3 linked regions of the Drosophila melanogaster genome follow. The protein of the gene in region 1 interacts with the protein of each later gene in a biochemical or structural test. Each region holds a gene or a part of one and is shown on either strand. Other genes may lie near its edges.

The links. Proteins that work in one complex are often made in the same cells at the same time.
Region 2: the proteins of Myb (region 1) and lin-52 form a complex in vitro, tested with the Drosophila melanogaster proteins (one study listed by BioGRID).
Region 3: the proteins of Myb (region 1) and bon form a complex in vitro, tested with the Drosophila melanogaster proteins (one study listed by BioGRID).

Annotation. Positions count from the first base shown.
Region 1 is NC_004354.4:15,852,806-15,861,623, reverse strand, and holds Myb (Myb oncogene-like), read left to right. Parts: upstream 1-3,800; 5' UTR 3,801-3,947; exon of another isoform or gene 3,948-4,010; 5' UTR 4,011-4,096; coding exon of another isoform or gene 4,097-4,450; 5' UTR 4,451-4,519; coding exon 4,520-5,834; intron 5,835-5,898; coding exon 5,899-6,557; 3' UTR 6,558-6,792; downstream 6,793-8,818. Other genes in the region: AlkB, read left to right, coding at 2,315-2,431, 2,483-3,024, 3,087-3,426; CG46440 (uncharacterized protein), read left to right, coding at 4,097-4,450; CG15914 (uncharacterized protein), read right to left, coding at 6,917-7,682, 7,736-8,018, 8,094-8,178. UniProt on the Drosophila melanogaster protein: DNA-binding protein that specifically recognizes the sequence 5'-YAAC[GT]G-3'. Component of the DREAM complex, a multiprotein complex that can both act as a transcription activator or repressor depending on the context.
Region 2 is NC_004354.4:5,750,927-5,756,965, reverse strand, and holds lin-52 (lin-52), read left to right. Parts: upstream 1-2,007; 5' UTR 2,008-2,081; coding exon 2,082-2,121; intron 2,122-2,176; coding exon 2,177-2,350; intron 2,351-2,424; coding exon 2,425-2,529; intron 2,530-2,609; coding exon 2,610-2,764; 3' UTR 2,765-3,317; downstream 3,318-6,039. Other genes in the region: CG15771 (uncharacterized protein), read right to left, coding at 762-911; CG15772 (uncharacterized protein), read right to left, coding at 3,318-4,097; Rtel1 (regulator of telomere elongation helicase 1), read right to left, coding at 5,412-5,624, 5,693-5,902, 5,988-6,039.
Region 3 is NT_033777.3:20,591,196-20,598,101, forward strand, and holds the start of bon (bonus), read left to right. Parts: upstream 1-1,943; 5' UTR 1,944-2,648; coding exon 2,649-2,849; intron 2,850-6,906. Other genes in the region: Pus1 (pseudouridine synthase 1), read right to left, coding at 1-416, 481-757, 813-1,298, 1,362-1,401.

The sequences.
Region 1 (8,818 bases):
CGGTCGGTCGGTCGGTCGTCCAAGTCGATTCGATTCGATTCGCTCTTGTTAGATGGTGCTATACATATGGGGAAGTAGTAAATGGAGGCGTTCATTAACCTAGTTATATGGTCAGTTGTGGGTGTACTTACGCTTACTTTTTTTAAGCTGGCCAGTAGCTTAGTCGGATAATGAGCCTTGGATGATCACGCTTGCATACGGCGTTTATTTTGTGCACTTCTAGTATGGATAAATCATGAACTGTGTTCTGCAAGAGTTGGTTTTTTGCTTTTTAGTTGACTTTTTTTCTTTTTCTGTTTTATCGTATAGTACTATTCACGGATTATATTCTCGGTACGATGTCCATTAATTTCTGACTTTAGTTCATAGTCGTCGTCCTGTGTTTGCTCTGCCAATTTAACTATTTGGTTTTTCAATTATTTCTTTTTTATTACTTTTTGTTTGGTATGTGCGATTGGTGTATTTCAGACCTCTGCAGAAAGTTCTTCGCTTGTTAAATACACATAAACTACGTTAGTGGGGGGGGAGAGAGAGGTTCCTATAGTTTTTTCGATTTTCCGTCCCGTCTGATTTGTAATTAGGATGTTGGGCGTTTTGTTTAATACAGAATGTTATCTCGCGGATGGGATGGTATACTAAAAAAAAAGAGGAAACCGAATTGGATGCATAAAAAGCGATCTGGTGCTAAGGACCAGAGAAAATGCGAATTTTTTGATGTGATTTATGCTTTTTATGTGCTGGATTTCGAATTCCGTTCTTCCGATAGATGGGTAGGATATATGGGATATATTCCTTTTGCTTTTTTTGTACACCAAAATTGCAAGTTTTGCACCACCACCGCGGCGCAAGTGGCCCTTTCGATTGGAGCAAGGAGCACGACTAGTGGATGCGAGCCGTGCGCAATTGAAAGCGCGGCAGCGAAAGCAGGTCAGAAGTTCCCGAAAGCGGGCGGTGAGACAAAAACAGTCGCGGCAATCGGTGTCCCATTCGCACGCGCAGCAACCGCGTAAGCGTACACATGACAAAGAGCAGGAGGGAAATAGATAAAAAAAAAATAATCAATTTTAAACGTTGAACATTTTTCGTTGGGAAGGCACTGGCACAGGCACAAAATATATGGAGCTCATTTCATTTAATTTTCCATGCCGACTGGCAATCGTTTAGAAAAAAAAAACAACCAAATCTGTGCAATAGTCATACATATATGTAGGCGCAAAACTATCGAGACTGCATTTTCATCACTCGTCGTTCAGCGAGTATGAAAAATTTTTTTTTCCTTTTAGCACATACACACACATTACCATAGATCAGTAATTTTTCTTTCAATTTTCATTCACTGGACAGTTTGTTGATGACGACAATACGTTACTTACACGCAGTGTTAACTTTTTATACGCAAAACAAATTCCCGTCTTCAACTACACAAATAACTGAAAATTTTGTTAACGAAGCCACCAATCTGTAACTTTTCATTTGCACTCTACAATTGGCAGCCAACACCTAGAAACAAATTAAGGGTGCAAGGAAGCAGTATCGATGTATGCGGATATCGATAGCATTGATACATATTCGGCAGCCAGGCTGTTCACACTGCGGACGGAGAGAGCCGGCAAATATACCAACTTGTCTTTATTTATTCAAAGTTTATTTGTCAAAAGACGTTATATTTTAAAAACATATTTTATTTTATATAAACAATGTGGTACCCCTTTCTTTTGAACCGAATATAGTATTAAGCACGCCCCCTCACATGAAAGTAAAATAACTACAACATATATAAATATATAAATATGTCATATAAATATACCATTTTCTTATTTCAACTCCTTTTTTAATATTAATTCATAAAAATATAAAAAATAAAGATCTATTATCGCTCTGAAGTGTAATGTTCCCACTTGATTTTTTCCTGTGCAACCCTTAAGACGTATCTTCGACCGAAATAATGAAAACGATCACTGCAAAAACGTAAACAATGAAAAAATCGGTCTCAAAACAACAAAAATATTTCAAAATAGTTAAAAGTCCCGTTCATATATCGATAACTTTATATCGATAAGATTAATCACAAATGAATCACCTCATGAAAAAAGGCTTAAAATTTTTTCCATGAAAAGGACATTCGAGCTTTTTCGGCAATGTCTCTTATGAATTGCATTCATTTTTAATTTTTATATCTATCCCATAGTATTTCCACCACATGTCTGATTTCTAAACGTGCTCAAAAGCATTTAAGATTTCTCCAAACGCAGTCACACTATTGCTATCGTTTATATTAACTTATTGTTTATATTGTACTTATTGTTTATGAAGCATGTTCAAGCTAGTTTTTAAGCAGTACAAGTGCAAAAGTACCAGTCCTGATTTAACGGAAGTTGTTAAGATCGATGATTGTGTAGTCAAGGGGAATGATCAAGAAAAGAGTGATAATGTAAGTACTCGATCCGTTGCAATTGAATTATGATTTCTACATTCCCCTCAGAATATTGTTCAACGATTAAGTATCAGCAATGTAGAAAGCCTACAGACAATGCCAGGCGTTAAATCGCCAAAAGATTGGCGAACCTATACATTAACTAACCATCCCGGCATTATTGTGATTCGGAATCCATTCTCGGAACGAGGCCGGCGTTATTGGAGCGCCCGATGTCTGCGGGATTTTCCGCGAACGCCAAATATAGTCAATTTAAATGAAAGGCTCTTCGATGAATCCGTCAGGTCGGACTGGTGGAAACAGCTTAATCTGTGCAGCGATGGCGTTGAGTTCCAACGTATAAAATCCGCGATGCGTTGGACGACATTTGGATATCATCACAACTGGGACACGAAGATCTATGATGAGGAGATGCAGTCGCCGTTTCCCGAAGATTTGAGCAGTCTATGCGGATTGTTTGCGCAAGCGTTGGGATACGCGGATTTTAAGCCAGAAGCCGCAATTGTAAATTACTATCCAGTTGGTAGTACGTTATCGGGTCACACAGATCACTCTGAACCAAACAAATCGGCCCCTTTGTTTTCTTTTAGGTAATATATCACGGATTAAACATATCCGTGCAGCTAATTTTTTTTTAATTTTATGCTTACAGTTTTGGTCAGACTGCAATATTTCTAATTGGTGGAAGATCTTTAGAAGAAAAGCCAACCGCTATCTACCTTCAATCCGGGGACGTTATGATAATGTCCGGAGAATCGCGTCTATGCTATCACGCAGTTCCTCGTATCATCAAAACTCAGGCTTCCGCGACTTTATCACTGATAATTGAAGATGTCGATAATGCAGATATTAAAACGCGTACAATTGATAAAGATTTATTTCATGATGTTGGCAACCCTCAATTTTGGGAGCCTTTTTCGAGATATATGGACGATTCACGTATTAATATTAATATACGTCAAGTTTTAAATCCAGGAGATGTTAAGCTTTAACCCCTCCTTGGAAAAATTTTTAATTTTATAGTATTTTACAAAATAAAAAACTGCATTTCAATTGAAAACTAAAGAAACATAGCAATTAACGTTGAAGTGATGCGTTCAATGGAAATATCTTAAATGTATAGGTGAAGTTAATAGTTTTATAAATATATTTTTCAGTCCCTATAAATGCTACTGACAACTAAATTTGGCAATTCTGACAAAATTATTTTATCCGATGGCAACTTTTTAACAATATTTCCAAGAAGTTGATAGCTAAATATCGATACTATCCCAGCTATCGTACAAGATATTGACTTCTAGTGGAAACGTGCCGATTACCGTAGTGATTATTTATCGATAGATTTTAATCGTTTTGAATTACAACGCTAGTGCTCGTGTAACGGTCACACTAAGTACTACATTTAATATAATAAGATGCGACGCCGTAAAATTCCAGTGTGAAAACGTGAATGAACTGATCAAAAACACCAAAGTGTGTACCCATAGCCCAGCAGTTTGAATTTGAAATAACGGTAGCACCACTTTAGATGAAGACAAATGTGCGAGTGGTAATTTTTTTCCCCCGTTTTCCTCAGTGCTAAATATAGAGCATCAAAATGTTTGGCATAAACGTAATATCGTAAAACTTGCATCTGCTTTTTAGTTCGCTGCCTGAATGAGTATGTCCACAAATATCTGTAATCTTCAAGTAACAAAGAACACGAATCCAAACCAAAATCGCCTCGAGGAGCAGCAAACAAAACTATTCGATTTTGGGCGGACCGAGAGCGATGCGACGCACCCAATATTGCGCAGCGATCATCAACGTGAACTGGTCGACTGCCTGACGTGCGGAAATCAATTCAAGTGTAACTCGTACAGCGACATTTGCTCGCACTACATATTCTACCATCCGCATATTCTGGATCATTTGCCCAAGTGCTTGTACTGCAAACGCGACGTTCATCGTTTCCAGCGTGGGAACAAGTCAGAGCCGGAGATCTATCACTTTTGTTCGCCCCGCAAGCAGCGTTAAAGAACCCATACACATATATACAAAGAGCGCCATTATTCATATATATATACCTATAAAGTTGATCTTAAGATGGCAAGTGCGAGCACTGAAAACGGCGAGGAGCTGATGAATTACGGCAGCAATTCGGATTCGGAGGAGTCCGAGTACTCGGAGAACGAGGATACCCAAGTTTGCGACAAGGATTCACAACAGAACAGCAATGCCGATTCGGGCTATCCACTGGACTCGCCCGAACTACAGGACTCCAAGACGACGGGGCAAAAGGGACAGAACAAAAGCGGTAAAACTAGCATCGGTGCAGTGCATCCGAACTATGGATTCGGCAAACGCTGGTCCAAGTCCGAGGATGTGTTGCTCAAGCAGCTGGTGGAGACGCACGGTGAGAACTGGGAGATTATCGGACCGCATTTCAAGGATCGCCTGGAACAGCAAGTGCAGCAGCGTTGGGCCAAAGTCCTCAATCCGGAGCTAATCAAGGGCCCGTGGACGCGGGACGAGGACGACATGGTTATTAAGCTGGTGCGCAACTTCGGGCCCAAGAAATGGACACTAATTGCACGATATCTGAACGGACGAATTGGGAAACAGTGCCGCGAGAGATGGCACAACCACCTCAATCCGAATATCAAGAAAACGGCCTGGACCGAAAAGGAGGACGAGATTATCTACCAGGCTCACTTGGAGCTGGGCAACCAGTGGGCAAAGATTGCCAAACGTCTGCCCGGACGCACCGATAACGCCATTAAAAACCATTGGAATTCAACAATGCGTCGCAAATATGACGTCGAACGCAGATCGGTTAATGCATCTGGTAGCGATTTGAAGAGTTCGCGAACCCATCTCATCACGCTGATCAAGTCCGGTGGCATCAGCAAGTGTATGAATAATATGCAACATAACAAGGAATCTGGTGGTGAGGCAGTTAATAAATCCGAAAACGCCGATGGCGCTTCGGTTACTGCCGTGAAAGGTGGTGATCTGGCACAGGAATCACAAGACGATCATCAAAAGGGATCCAATCTGGCACACCTCAGTATGCAGCATCTCATTAAGTTGACCATGCCGCGCCAAACACCGATCATATTGAAGCGTACACGCAAACACATTCCCGAAACTCACCATCAGGCAGGATGTTCATCAAGTGAGACATTCAACCAGGAAGAAGCCGCCGGAAACGCCAGGTCGCGACCACCGAGTTCGCCCGTCATATCGCCCATTAAGTCGCTACCCTTTTCACCGAGTCACTTCCTCAAGTCGCCTTGCCTGACCACCTTTGAAGATATGGATCTGCGGGCTAGCACGCCGGTAACCAAGGTCTATAATCGCGTTGGAATGGAGATCAAAAAGGAAATGGAGACATCGTCGATAGAAACTCCACACAAGAGTAAGTACAAGCCACTGTTGGCTTCAAATGCATCTTGAATACACACAATCATCGTTATTTGTAGGTCAACTTGGACCACGAACACCAACGCCCTTCAAAAAGGCACTTGCTGCCATCGGCAAGAAGAGGGACGGTCGTCGATACGAGCCCTCCAGCCCATCCAGTCTGGTGGAGGATCTGGCCGAAATCATCCATGAAGAGCATCTGAGCAACTCGCTGACCGCAAACAATTCCAAAATGATGGGCGCCGCCGATCAGAACTCAACGCTAAGCACCGAATACAATGCTCAGTCGCCGCCGCATATGAAACGTGCCAGGAAGTCATTGCTCTCAACTTGGAGCTCCAATCATCCATACAACGCTGGCTCCGCCAAGAGGATTCAACCCTTCGAAACCGAGACGCCCAGCAAGTTTCTCACATCGCCGGGCGATATTTTGAAGGACACGCTGTGCAGCGAACAGGACCTGCCGTTCGACGAGGGCAGAAAGGAGAATCGACCATTCCATAATCGCAGAATTAACAAGTACCGCGGTGGCTTGACCTACGATCATGTCATTGATCCCAAGTGGGCACGCGTCGCTTGTGGCAAGTCCAGAGATCAAATGTTTATGGAGGAGCAGGCTTATGCGTGCCTCAAAAATCTGTCCTGTATTTCGCGCTCCCTGAACTTCGAGAAACAAAAGTGTTTGGTGAATTCGTTCGACCGCTTTGGTTCGCTCTAAATTCTATGTGGCTATATTCAGGTATTACAAACAAAATTCTATACGCATCATCTTTATAATATTGTAGATATGAATCCCCAAATTTTCATCCAAATTGTGTTTTCGAAATAGAATTTATTGTGCTACATTTATGGCATTATTGGTTACATCCACCTTAAATTGTATCCCATTTTTTTCGGATATTTCATAAATAAATAAATGCTTAAAGTGAATGAAGCGTGTTTTAACACAAAGGACTTACATATATATATCGTTTTTTTTTGGCTTTGTAGGTTACAGAAGAGAGATATATTTATTCAAAAATATATCTATTATATTACAGAGAATATTTTGATAGACATTTGCCAAACCTTCGATTTCTAACTTTGTTCGTCTGCAATATGTTTATTGAATATGTCCAGATATTTTGGCACTAGTTCTTTCGCCGAAAAACGATCGAAATTAAAGTTCTCAAAGAATTGATCGCGCTGCTTGCGAAAGACCCTCGGCATTCTACAAAAGTTGTAGAGCTTCTTCGTCAGCGCATTGGAGGTGTTGTAGAGGTTTTCCTTTGGGTAGATTTCCGGGTAGACCAATTTGTTGGGCGCAATGGGATAACAGCCGCAGAAAGCGGCCTCCAGCATTGCTACTCCAAAAAACTCATGGTCGGCAGTTGATATCACAATGTCCCCAGTCAGCAGGGTCTTCAAGTACTCTTCACGCTCCAGATGGCCAAAGTTCACCAGCTTGCTGCCCAGTTTCTCCTGTATATGCTCGAATTCCTCCGGTATCTCCTGGTAACTCTCGCCACAAATAGTCACCTTGAAGTCCACTTGTCGCTCATGGAGCTGACAGAGCGTATCCACCAGTAGTTTGGGATTCTTATCGTGCTCCCAGCGATGTGGCCAAATAAGATGGATGCACTTCTCATCCAGATCCTCAGCAGTCTCCCCCTTTACGCACTCCTTCCGAATGGGAAACCGTTCGAAATTGACGGGAAAGTACAGCACTTGGCATTTCTTCTCGATTTGCTCGCGAATATGCTTGATTTTAAAGTCTGGCTGCATATTCAGAAAGGGCTGAACATTATCCAAAAACGAGTTGCAGTTGAATTGGGAATTGAAGAGCACCATGTCTGCGGCAAGACTGAAAATGGATGGGTTATGGATGCAAGTTGGGTATACAGGATGGTCACCTACCAGGAGAGTATCTCATTGAAACCGTATTGACAATCGCGCTGCTTCACCTCGCGCACCGGATAGATCAGCTGGTTCTCGTGGAAGTAGACGATCTTCCGGCAAGCGGCCAGATCCGGACGCAGACCAATCAGCTCGGCCAGGCTGAGCACGGAGCTGGCGAAAAGCACCCGGAATGCGTGATCGCGCGGAATCAGCTGGGCGAAGTGGAGGGCAGAGGTGCGTGCTCGCCAGTGCCATTTCTTGGCGGGAAGGCTGAATATCTCGCTGTCGCCATGGTTGAGACCTACAAATTGGATGATAAGTTGGAGTGAAGTTTGTATGTCTAGTTGTAATATTCTAAGTATGTATATATGTGTACCCTCGATCAGTGCGCCGATCAGCTGTTTGTGACTGCCCCCGTAAAACGGTTCAATAATCAAAATATGCGGCTTTGCGCACGACATGATAGACGGTCTTGGTGTGTGACCAGAGTGAGTGACAATTACCAAATATATTAATTATTTTAAATGTTGTTTATTTTTGAATTGATCACTACACAATTTATAAAACATTTATTTAACATAATTAGGCTAATTAAATTACCCCAATTGGTTTAAAATAAACAATGAAGGGTGTTGTTTTTATCAGCTGTTTGAATGCACAACCTGTGCAATGCGAAAATATACCGACCAGTGGAGAACGCCTCGAATTGGCTGTTCACGTCACTCGCACGCTGGTCACACCGATTTTGTAAATGCAAAAATTGAGTATGTATAAGTATTTACCATCGTGTCGTTATAGGAAAATTAAAAATTGTGTCATCTCGGACCAAGATAAATGTTGAAAAGCAAACCAAAGTGAATCATAGGTATATTGTAGATAAAATCTTTTCTGACTGCTGATTATGCCAACAATCGAAGCTGAAAACTTAGCGCACGGGAAAAAAAAATCAAACGCGAAAGTGCTTTTTTTTTATCCAATACCAACTACACAAGCACATACATACGTACATATGCATATATGCATATGCGTATGTGTGTGTACAAAGGCATTGATATAAAATTGAGAAAAATTCAATAAGTTTACCATAGCAGACCAATAGCA
Region 2 (6,039 bases), about 10 Mb from region 1:
TTTAACCTTTTAAGATCGCAAATAGACTCATTTATTGTAATAAATAAAGTCAATGGCCTCTGAACGTTCAAACAAGTACATATTGCGAAGTGCTACCTATTATCATCAATTAACCTTTAGCTTCTTTGTGTGCCATTCACTTTATAAGAAGGTTATATTTCAAAAGAAACCATTGACGCGGGTTTCCAAAGTTTGTTGGTATGACGTTTCGTTCAACTTTTGTTAAGTGCAAGTTCCTCGATTTCCGACCTTTTTGCAATCGTTTGCAATCGATAATGCGCACCACGATAAGATCCTGTAAAGTGCCTTTTAACATTTCGAAAACCGAAGATTCCGAATTTCCAACGTAATGCCGATTATTTAGTGGGTTTTAGCCTTCTAAAGTGCATGTACCCGTGGTTATATTTAAGTTAAGACCTTGTCGAGTGCACTCTGAGTTTTTCTTTTTTGTTTTTTTTTTTTTTGTGGCTGGGGGATGTGAAGGGAAGGGAAAGGAAATCAATCGGAACGCAAATAAACAATCGAAATTTCGGGCGCGTGCTATCTGCCGAGCGTCCGGGTTTTTTCGACTACGTAACAACGGGCGGGCTGCAGTGGAAAATTTTCTAGCTGGGTCGCCCGCCTGCTGCGCACTTTCACCTCCCCCGCCCCGCCCCCCCACAAACACTACATGGAAAAGAAACGGAAGAAACGCCAACGGATTGGTGATTGGCAGAGGGGGCAGTGAGGCTGTCTGCCTTGGCTTGGTTAACAAAGCTCACCTTTCTGATCGCCTTGGAATCGCCGGCTCTGGTGGGAATCAACGTGTTGTCCAGGTCAAAGTAAAAGGCCCTGATTTTCGCACATGTCGCATCGAAATGTGAATGTGTGGCTGTCAATTGCTTGCCGCAATGGAATTTGCTAGCTGCCATGAGAGTCGTCGAGCGGAGGGGGGGATGGAGGGTCAGCGAGGGGTCACTGTCAGGAGTGGAGGGGTGGTAGCCGGTTGCTTGGTTAGATGGATGGATGCAAACGTAGAGATCCAAGAACAACTTTGGTGCAATTCAATCCGCCAGCGGATTTGCGCTTTGAAATTGGCGCCAAACGAAACGAAACGAAATGTACGAGCTGCACGACTGCAGCAGCACTGCAGTATTTTTCTATTTTCCTCGAGCGGACTGGCAAAAGTTTCCGCTTCTCGCGCGGCGAAGTTAAAACGGCAACTGAATGACAGCGACAAAAAAAATAATGAAACGGAACGGGAGCGGTCGCAGTAATGTCGAGAGACGGGGTAGCGGGGCGGCGGAACAGGTGAGCGCGTGTGTATGAGTGCTTGTTGACTGAGTGAGAGCGGAGCAGCGAATGAAAAACCGAAAGAAAGTGCGAGGGCGCATGGGAAAACAGTGGTGGCCAAAAGTCTGCGTATGCGAACAGTGCTACCAGGCGGCGGCGCCAATTGATAAAAACTTGATAAGATATTGTTATTCCTTAAGATTTTATATTATTATTAAGATGTTCTTGAATAAGTTTATTTCAATAACTGGTTAGACATCCGTGTTGTGTTGTTCTGGACAACTACTGCGCAGCACATGTGCTTTTTACGGGCACATATTTTTTGGCGCCACTGTGCGAAGTGTGCCAAGTGCCGTTTGCGCGCCAGAGCGAACGAGAGCAGGCGACCTAGCGCAGAGTTGTCTCTATGCGCCGTTAAACGACCGTGAGTGGAAAAGAGAGCACGATAGAGGTCGCGGAGAGGTTCGCGTTTCTCTGCTACGACGCCTGCTCTCCACTCTGAATTTAGTATAAGTCGAGGCACGCTCATTTCCTAATTGTTGTGCCATTTATTTTTAACTTCTATTAATAAAACCAGGAAAAGCAATAACAACAGTTCTTTGTTTACCAAAAATATCAGTTGTTTTATACTTCCTGGTGCTTTCTAGCACTGGCTTGGCGGTAAATCGATAGTATTCGATAGTGATTGTTGAAAGTGGCAACGCTATAGTTTTTGTTTAACGAGGTGGCAAGTGATTAGCCCACGGATTTTTTGGCATCTTTCCGTGTTTATTTTCAATAGTTTTTGGAGTTTTTCAACATTATCCGCGATGAGCAACGCAGAGACAACTACGGATTTGCTTTCTACAGGTGAGTAAATATTTAAATCACATGAAAGGCGCCATAAAACGAGGTTTTCTTGCAGAAACCATTCTAAAAGCGGCGGACGAGGAAGTGGAGAAGGCTTCAGCGTCCAGCAGTAGTACGTTATTGGCCGAAAAGGATGTCCCGGAGGTCAAGGAGCGGCCCATAACGCCGGAAGACGAGCTCATCTCCATGGAAACTCTGCGACCCTCACCTGTCCAATGGCCAGAGCGTTGTAAGTGTAGAAAACGTGAGCACGAAGAAATTGGCGCCATTTTTAACGCATATCTTTATTTTCGATTGCTCCAGTTCCCGGAATGGACGAGTTCCTCTCCATGAGCGACACGCCGATGTACACGCGCAGCACCAACTACACCAGCAATCTGACCGATGATGATATGGTTAAGATTAATGGTAAGTAGCTGCAAAGTCAATGAGATTTAAGAATAGTATATTAAAGAATAGCATATCCATTACCTACTTTTCTATTCCAGAACTAGCCCAGCTCCCTCCCGAGGATCTGATCGATAAAATAAAGTCAATGCATGATGAAATTTACCAGCTGGGACTGCGTGAGGCAATGGAGATGACTCGTGGGAAACTGCTGGGCATCTTTGACCGGGATCGCGCTCCTAAGCGGCAGCCATGAGGCTGGATGATCCGATCCCTAAGAATGGGACTGTCGAGGATCTCGTTGAATTCGCATTAGGAACATAGGTGTAGTTTCATAGTGTACATAGTGCTATTTTTATAGTGAGTAATGCGTGTTGTGAATGATTTATCGCTATTTTACAAAGATAAATAGGCAGGCGTTTGAACAGTAACTAACGTTTATTTCCATTAAAGCATTTTGGGTCCTACACGTCGCTTGTATTACAGATACATTTGAGGAGTCGGAGGAGAGATGAAGTTGACGGATTGGAGGGAAAGGAATGCAGAAGGATCTGGAGTTTTTGGAGAAGGCACAGTAGATTTCGCTATGCAGGGACATTAACGCAACAAATAACTCTGTCTATGTGGGATTGGATGGATCGGTTGCGCTCTAGTGCGTCCTATTAATACTTAACTAAATGCTTTCGTTCGGATTTATGCAGTAGCCTTCCCCACGATCCATCCCAATTTGGGAAAGTGTGTTGGTGCTGATGGTGTGCTTACATGCTGTTTCCCGTGAATATATATCCAGTAACGTGCATCAATTCCCATTACTCCTGCCACTGCATTCCGAATCGCTGCTCAAAGGTGATCCGGTTAAAGACGCCCGCATCGGCCAGCTGCAAGGGATCGGTGTAGTACGCAAAACGCCGTATATCCAGCATGGCCAGGTCGAACATTTGCTTCCAGCTGGTCAAATCTGTAACGCTCATGTGGATCGGCAGCTGGGGATCCGGTATATCGATGGCCGCCTGCAGACGGTCAAACGCCTCGGCAATTGGTCCCACCGATAGATTAACCCAGTACTCCGCTGGAAAGCGCTTGTTCTCACAAAACGGCGCTCCCTTGCGCATGATGAAGACCAGCATGAGTATCTCATAGCGCTCGGAGCTCTCATAGAAGCGCTTGGTTCGGGTCTTCTCCACGAAATCGATGAGAAGGATCAGGGGAGTGTAGTTCTGGAGGTGCATCAACAGCTCCCGGTCGGTCCAAAGGTAACGGCCGCCTTTGACGGTCAGCAGGCTCATGTTGCTGGCGAGTTGTTGATGCTGCTGCTGCTGCTGTTGCTGCTGCAGCTGGTGGTGTTGCTGCTGCTGAAGGTGTTGCTGTTGCTGCTGCTGATGTTGGTGTTGCTGCTGCTGTTGCTGCTGGTGTTGCTGGTGCTGCTGCTGCTGGTGTTGCTGCTGCTGGTGCTGCTGGTGTTGCTGCTGCTGATGCTGCTGGTGAATGCCGCCGGCGGATGGGGCTGGAGTTCCGGTGTTGGATGCCACCTGGCTGGGCATGGCGACCACAATGCCCGTCTGTCTCTGGCAGCCAATCTCCTCCACCATGTGCGCTGCAATGACGACAAAATGCATTTAAGGCAAGTGCCTAAACCAGGCCAAGGTCGCTGCGTTGGCCAAACACCCAGCCACCCCCTGCCCGCCCTCATTATTACTTGTTGCAAATAGCGAGCAGCGAAGAGCGAACGTGCAGCAAGTCAAAGGCTATGGCAATTGCAATTGCAATCAACTTACTGCGTGCCCCAATCAAAGCGGCAGAAATTATGTGTGTATTTATGAGGCGGATGGATCAGCGGGTCTGGATTTGGATCGGGGTACGAATGTGGCCCCCAAGAAGCAGCGGCCTATCTCCTCCGGCAGCTCTGCGTGTTTGCCGTGCGCCCTGGACGATTGTTGCCACGCGAGTGCCTTCCCAAGTCCGAAGTCGGAGCCACTCGGACCCGCATTCTCGTTGCACTCGGGCTCAGTTTTCTCGGTGACTCGGTCGCGCCAGCCGATGGGCATGTGTGGATGTGCATATAGGGACTCGGCCCGTTTGGCAATGAACTTATTGGATGCGTTCTGCGCTGGCTGCGGTTCGCAGATTTGTTACCAAGCGGGCTGCCAACTCTAAAATGTATGCCCCCCAAGCGGTAGATTAAAAAATAAATGTGAAAAACATATATGTAAGCAGTCTACAAAAAAGTAATTTTATGTTTTTAAGACAAGAACTTAAAAGTCTTAGCATTAGTCAATTTCCTATGATATCTTATCTATTTATCATGCTTAAAAATATATAAAATAAACATATATTGTACATATATATATATTATTATACAAATTGAGTTCATATTTAAATACGATATGTAAGATTTGAAGAGTTTTCGAGCACCCTGTTCTATTCGCCTTTGATTTGATTGAAAGCTTATTAAAGCTCATCAGCTTATCAGCAAACGAAATCGAAGTTTGATGCACATAAAAGTGGTATTAAATTTCCAATAAAGGTAGACTGTTGATTTAAGTCAACCTTGAGCGGTAAATAAATAAACAGATTGGGAAAACATAATGCACATAATGCAAACGGTTTTGAGTAACTGCATTTGCATTTAATATGACCCCACATTTTCCCACAAAGCTATAAACAATATCATGATTAACGTATAATTTTTAATAGTAATAAACATCCGTACAGAGAAATTCAAAATGCATGTACAACAATGCATAGCATTGTTAATAATATATATTCTTAGGAGAATTAGACGCGCCCCACTAAATACAATCAGAAAATTACAGCCAATGTCAATAAATTTGAAAAAAAAAAAATAACATATCCTTGGGACGACTAAACTTGAAAACTCTTTTACATAGTCACCTAACCCTTTGTTAAAGATTGCCCACCCTACGATCAAACTCGTCCTTGTGCTCGTTCTTTAGATACTTCCGCATCCCGACGAGCATGTAGCGCACTTTGGGTGCGGACAGGACATCCAGGAGTATGGCCATCAGGGCCTGAAAGCTCTCATAGGTGCCATTCTTGTACTCCAGCAGCGCCTTGCCAAAGCGGCGGAATTGATCTTGGGTGACCAGGCTGCGTAGCTGCAATTCAAGGTAAATTAATTAGTAGTAGTAGTAGTAGTATGGAAGAAGTCTCGAAGGTATCTCACCTCCCGGAGAAACGCGGCCCTTTCCTCGGGTGCCTCCTTAGCCTGCGAACTACTTGGCTCCACCTTGATGTTCTCCACCAACTTGTATCGCTTTTTGGTCACCTGGCTGGAGGATTCCGGCGCCGTTGGTGAGCTTCGCTCCCGCTTGTGAATCTTCACCAGACCAGAGGAGCCACTTTTACTATCTGTGCAGCAGTTGAAATCGATACTCTGGGAAAGGGGCAAAACAAGAACAAGTCCTAAAGAACTAAATAAACACAGTGTAATAATAGATTCATGGGAATCTCGTGTTTACCGAGACATTTGAGTCCAGTCGACTCATAAAGTCCATGGCATTCGGCGCCGCA
Region 3 (6,906 bases), on another chromosome or scaffold:
AGTCGAGCATGTTACGCTGCTCGGCTTCCGTCTTATAGATCTGGCTAAAGATCTCCCTCTCGATAAACTCCTGGACTTGCGCCTCCTGCGCCTGCCATGTCAGCGGATTGTGGATGCCGTCCTTGCCGTAGCGATCGTTGTAGCGCTCGTAGTGCACTGTGTCCAGCACGAGGCCCAGTCCAGGGGCCATCGGCAGGTCCAGACGCTCCTCCGTCAGTGCCCGCTCTAAAGTGGCCGCCGTCGTGTTCCCCCTTACAATGGCAATGGCTAGACCCACCATCTTGCGAATCTGGTGCAGCATAAAGCTCTGACCCTTAACCTTAAGTGTGACAAATTCGATGTCCTGGGGACTCCGGAATGGCTCGCTGCTCGTAAAGGACATGATGAAGCGCTTGGACGAAGGATCCAGAAAGCTTCTACAAGGGTAGTAAACAAAATATTAGTTGGAGCAGAAATGAAGTATAAACCTGGCTTATTTACTTCTTGCTGGTGAAGTTGTGGAAGTTCTTCGTGCCCTCGTAGAGCTTCAGGGTTTCTTTAACCTTCTGCAGCAGCTCTGGTGAAATCCGGAAGGTGTCGTGCACGTCGTCGACCTTTTCCTCAAACGGAGCAAAGGCCACGGTGGGCAGTGTGTAGGTGTAGGTCCGAGCATTGCATTGATCCTTGGCATTGAAGCCCTTAGTCACGCGTTCTACGCCAAACAGACGGATCTGTTGCGGCAGATCGGCATTGAAGGCCTCCAGGTCCAGCTCCTCAGCTGCAGGAAGGAATAGGTTTAGTATTGTCTTGTAAAATAGAATAAGTAAACTAACGCAGCTTGACGGAGCACACCTGGCGGGCGGCGGAGACGCCCTTGTCGGTCCTGGCCGCTCTTTGGAAACAGGAAATCTGAATCTGCTCAAAGCTGTCCTCTGTAATCCACTTGTGCTTTAGCATGGCTTTGAAGAGCTCCTCCTCGATGGTCTGCATGCCGGGATTGCGCTGCATACCATAGTAGTTCGCACCGCAGTAGCTAAGCAGGATGGCGCTCTTCTTGCGCTTGATCCGGTCGGCGGGATCGAACGGCGCTCGCTTCACGCCGTTGGCGGCATCCTTCTCGTCCTGCTCCTTCCAATCGACCCATTTCTTGCGTTTAAGTGTTCTCTTGATGCGGTTGGCGTCCTTCACGGCTTCGCCCTCCAGTTCTTTGGCCTCTTTCCTGGCTTCCTTCTCCACCTCCAGTTTATCTAGAGCCTCTGACATCGCTGCGGCGAAGGATTTGTGGCGATTCCAGGGATTGCAAAGGGTTTTCAGGCGAACTATTGTAAGAAAATTAATTATTATAAATTCTCGAATTGGAGGTGTGATCACTAATAATTAACCTGCCTTGGTGTAGTCGTTTAAAAGTCGTCTTAAAAACATTAAGTAAACAATTCTGGATTTAAAGTGGAGGAATTCACACACGTGTGGTTGTGCTTCTTCTTCTTGCTCTGTTACGGATCAGCTGTTTTATTTAACAGCTCTGTTTGGCTAATACAAATATGTTTTTTTCGAAAATCGCGTTCTTTGAATTAGCTCAATAATTAAGTTGAGTTTCCGAAATGCTACTTTTGATTTACTTAAGTTTTAAATTAGCTGTGTGGAGAAAAATGTTCAAAGCTTTACGTAACGTTATGACTTAACAGAACGAAGACGTTACAAGTTTATTTTAAAAATTATGTTATATTTTACTATAACCTTTTAATACCAGGCTAAGTTATTAGTTTTAAATTGTAAATAAATGGCATCTTGACCATGTATTACAACATTAATATGATTTTTTACGAAATGAACGGCGAATTCAATTGTGGTATTGCCAGATCGCGTGTTTAGTGTGACCTCAGCTGCTTACGTTTCCACGGCCGTGCGTAACAGCCCTCGAAATGCCGTCGTACTGGCAACGCCGACATGAATTAATTGAATCCAAAATGGCTGAACATTTTTTGTACAGAAGAAGCGTCCAACGAGAGCAAACGCCGTGAGACCGTGTGTTTTCGCAGCGAATTACGCCAATAAAACCGCACTAAGAGCGCGCTCGCAGCGCGAATAAAGAATAGCAGCCGCGTATGGACGAAATGCGGCACGAATCGCTGGAAAAATCGACGGCCAGACCGAAAAATAGCAGCGAAATTCGAGCGAACGTCGTGTATAAGTAAAACGAAAGTTGTGTCGCTCTGTGCGAAAGAGAGAGGGAGAACCCAATATTTTTGCAAGCCAGAAGTCGAAGGTGAAATTAAAATGCATTAGCCACCCAATTGAAGAGGAGTCAACTACGAACAAAACTTTAAGAATCAGCGAAAAATCGTTTGTGAACATCCATACAAGCACAAATCGTTGTTTTTGCCTGCTCTCGTGTAGTTCCTGTGTATTGGTGCGCGCGCCCTGTGTGTGTTTGTGCGTGTGCGTGCGTGTAAGCATTGGAATGGATTAACTACCCAACTAATTCCAAAACAATAATACCGCAACATAATCGCAATAGTCATGCCGTTTCAAGGCGACAGCCTTTAGGGAAACATTCGGTCGGTCGGTCAGTCAACCAAAAATCAGTTGCTATAATTAGCACGCCCACGTTTTAATTTCAACGATCGCCAGCAACCGCCTACGCGGTTAAATCGCAGGACTTCGCCAACATGGATATGGATTTGGAGCAGCTAAAGAACGACTTCCTGCCGCTTATCGCCGGGATCAAGCAGGAGCAGCTGGATGCCGTGCCCACGGATGCCCTGCCCCAGATGAGCACACCAAACACGGCCAGCGGTGCGCCCACAACCTCGTCATTGAGCTCCTCTTCGCTGAGTCTGAGCAACCCCTGCGACAGTGCCGAGAAAAGGGTATGTTGCTAGTCCGTATCACGCGTTCGTTACCTATAAGCTAACGCCAAGTTGAGGTTAGCTAAAGCCGCCTAATCACACGTGCTCTTGCGGCTGATAACAAACAGCCGGCTCAATACACATATTCCCCTGCTCTGCGCAGTCTGCTCAGTGTAAACTTTTGTTTTGGTTGGATTTTGATGCGCTCGTGCTGCGTCCTCCTTATCAAGCGTTTCGAATCGAGTCTCGTGCAAAAAGCGTTTGTTATCTTTTTCCCAGGCCAAGGCAAACAAAGCAGCGTATTCACACAACCAAACAAACAGCGCGCAATGGCAAGTGTTGTTGTGTTTCACTTTCACGGCCCAGTCCGAGATCTTACAGTGAGAAAAACGGCGTGCACTTTGCTCTATTTTACAGTATATGTGTATATATAGTTTTCTATTATTTTAAAATTAATATGACTATGCAGTTTTAATCTTGGATATACCAGTTAAGATGTAAGAAATGTGATGTTATCGAACGTTGAATCAACTTTAAAATTAGTTCTAATATACAAATTTTTAAGTTGTTATATGAAAAAATGAAAAATAATATACCAACTTAATGCAAGAATTTAATTAAATTAAAAAAGGTACAAATTAAACATTAATTATTAGCTTACTGATTGAGAATTTTTTTTTTTACTGTGTAGTGAGTTAGGGTCTCGTGCCGATGGTTCTCGATTCCCCTATGAGTGCGAGCAAAACAAGCTGTTTCTAGACAGTCGCTACCTCGCTTTCACTTACGTGGAAGGGCTAAGTCAAGATGGTCTCCCTCTCTTGCAATTGCAGATCAGCTGCAACATGCAGCTGCCACTCTCCAGATGAGCGGCAATAGAGTGTGTGTGGTTGTGTGTGTGCTCTCTACTGTGTTTTGTTTGCTCTCCGTCGTGCTTGAGCTGCTCTTTAAGCTACAGTGGAACCCAAGTAGATCATCCTAGTGGAAAGCTTGAACATAATTGTCCTGAAAAATAAAAAAATACTATAATATTTTAACTACTTCAATCTAAAGAATTATTGAATTGCTTTTACACCTTTTTGTTTATTTTCATTGTATTAGTTACTTACTGTACAGCCAGATAACTTGCCTTAACTGAACTTCCAATATAATTTTGGGACATACAGAATATAACTACCTTATTTTCAACGTAAATTGGGCAATTTGAAAGTTTCATTTAACACTAACATTATGAATTAAAATCAACGGCTTGTGATTACAATAAAACAAAATTAATGTTTTTCACAAATGATAACCGCTTTAGATGACACTAATTGGTCACGATATTTTATTATGTGTGCTAAATAAAACAAACACGTTTTCATGTATGTAATTAAAAATTCGAGCTCTAACTTTCTATGCGGCATGTGATACTTCTAGTTACGGAAGCCTGACTGTATGAAAGACTCAAACTTCTCCTGCAACCGTGCAAATAAATGTTCGCCTAGAGTGGGCCTTTTGGAGTGGCCACTCTCTCTTGAACCCCAACCAGGGATTGGGAATGACATGCACTCATTCAATCCGTCCCTCAATCATGCAAACGGTTGTGTTTGCTGTGGTCGTTGGGGGCACTTAAGACCCCCAGACTCCATGCCCAGTCCCCCCCCCCCCCCCGCCTGAATCCCCTCCAGATCACTTAATGCCCATTTCTGATGCGGGCAAACTATCAAGTGGAAAGTACTTCGCCGAGGCAAGGTGTGGAGTTCAGAATGGATGATGATGGGGATTTCAAAGGAATAGCTTTTAGATTATTAATCCTGTTAAAGATTTTCATACATGCATGTACATAACTACAAAACAATCTGACTTAAGAAACTGCCAAGCACGGAATAGTTAAATAATTAATATGAAAAGAATTATCAAAGAATTATTTATGATCCAGTAAGAATTATGCGATCCTTTAGATTTCCTTTAGATTTGAATGCTAATTCTTCTCTTGACGGCATTTTTTTCCTTTTCATCGAGTAAATTATTCTAATTTATGCATGACTTCACAAAACTAACTGTACCTACTCATGAATACATGGAATACATGATGTCGTTAAGTAACTTTTATGGGCGAAAAACATAATAAGAATTTCTCAATAAAGAGAGAAGACTTAAAATTCACGGATAATTTTTTCCTATATATAGTAAACAATGATACCTCTGCTCATATTAAACTCAAATGATTATTAATTTGTTTTTAATTAAAATTAGCTTGAAAGGTTTTATACATTCATAAACACAAGGTCTGCTTTTGTGGAGACTTTCTTTTTTACCTTTATACTTCCGATTCGGTAAAACACTCAAAATCACTGAAGCTTAACTGAAAAGAGAAACCTATTCATTTGTAGCTCCTGTCAAAATGGCGGGTTTCGGCATTAAAAGTGACAGCTGATGGGGAGGTTGCCGCTGGCGGGCATCCATATGTCATCTCAAAAACACTGCACCTAAATGCATTTTCCTACCCTCCATGAGGCCATATTTAATACTCCCATAAATACGTATGTACGAACGCTTGTCGTACATACATATTCATGAAGTCATGTCTTTGTGTGTTACCCCATGCATGCGACAGGTTGTAATTAAATTGCTTGACATCGGAATAAATGAAAACCCAAAATCGTACGACGCCATTTTGTGTTAGATACCGACGAGACCCGAAACGAATTCTTAGAATCCGCCTTTAATGATGTACAATTAACTTTAATTTGATGAGAATATGCAAGCAAAGCAAAACGAGGAGAAGGCAAAGTGCCGATGGCCAGACGCCGGTGCTAGGAAACCCCAGCCCCCAAAAATAAAAGTCGTTAAATGCACAAAAAAGTAAAGTTTCTAATTAACTTGATTACCCTGAAATAAGGGCGGGTAGATCTTGGAAAATGACTCTCTTTTCACTTTACTCGAACTACCTGGCATTAATGCAGACATCGGGATTTTAAAATGCTGGGATTTTATGGCATCTATAGTCAACCATCCCCTTTGTGATCCGATTGAACGAATTTAGGATTAGAAATAATACTCTATACTCTAAACTAGGTAATTGTGTCAAAGCCAATATGTGCATTAAAGATTTTCTGATTTAGTACGCTCAATGTCAAAATAGATATTCAACATATTTTTGAAGTGAACAAGAGAGGTCGCTCTAGTCTATTCTCGTTACTAGTGTTTTATTTTCGAGTTCGGAAAAAAAATTTTAAAAAAGATTATATGTATATTTGTTTTACTGTCTACTGTTCTTTGTACCTGTTATAAACTTTTAATCTTATATTAATAGCTTTTTGTTATTTTTAGGAGAAAAACCATCTTGGTTGATGTACATTTTATAAACTCTCTCAGTTCCGAACTTATTGTTAATAACGTTTAATTGGAACAAACCATGAAAACATGTTTTTTTCTAAAATGTTAACAGCTTTATAACTTGAAAGGTGGTTCCATTTAGGGACGTTCTCCTGTTTATCCAGGATATACACATTTTAATTGCTTTTCCGGGCAGTCGGTGGGCGTAAGGCCGCCCTAATCCATCCATCGACGTCCAGTGCGTAATTAAAGTTGACTGCGACTGCGGGATCAGTGCGGATGGATGGAATCGGATTGGAACTGAAAAAGGGAATGGGAGTGGTGTAGTTGTAGGTGTAGATGTGGAAGTGGTGCTCGTTGGCAACATGTGTACGCTGGTCGCACTCCTGTGCGGGGATTAGGTGCTACACAGGACATAATCCGATCACAAAAAGCGGATTATAACGCACAGCAACAAAAATGGTGCAGTCGGGCGGCCGTGGCAAAGGGAAACCGAACTGACGCCACTTTAAAAGTAGAGCGTTTCTGTCAGTGGAGGGGAAATGCAGAGGGCAAAGTTTTATAAGCTGCATAAGTCCTGAGAAGCGAGTCTGTCTGATTTCCTACCATCCTACGGCAACAGACAGCAGATGTAAGCAGATTTCTGAGCTGCGTCAGCTTGTTCAGCTGCCGCCTTGGCATGCCCCCAGATACGCCTACGCCCAAGTCCCGGTACCATCCATATCGGTTATAATATTGCTATTCCTGCAACTGGCGTCAC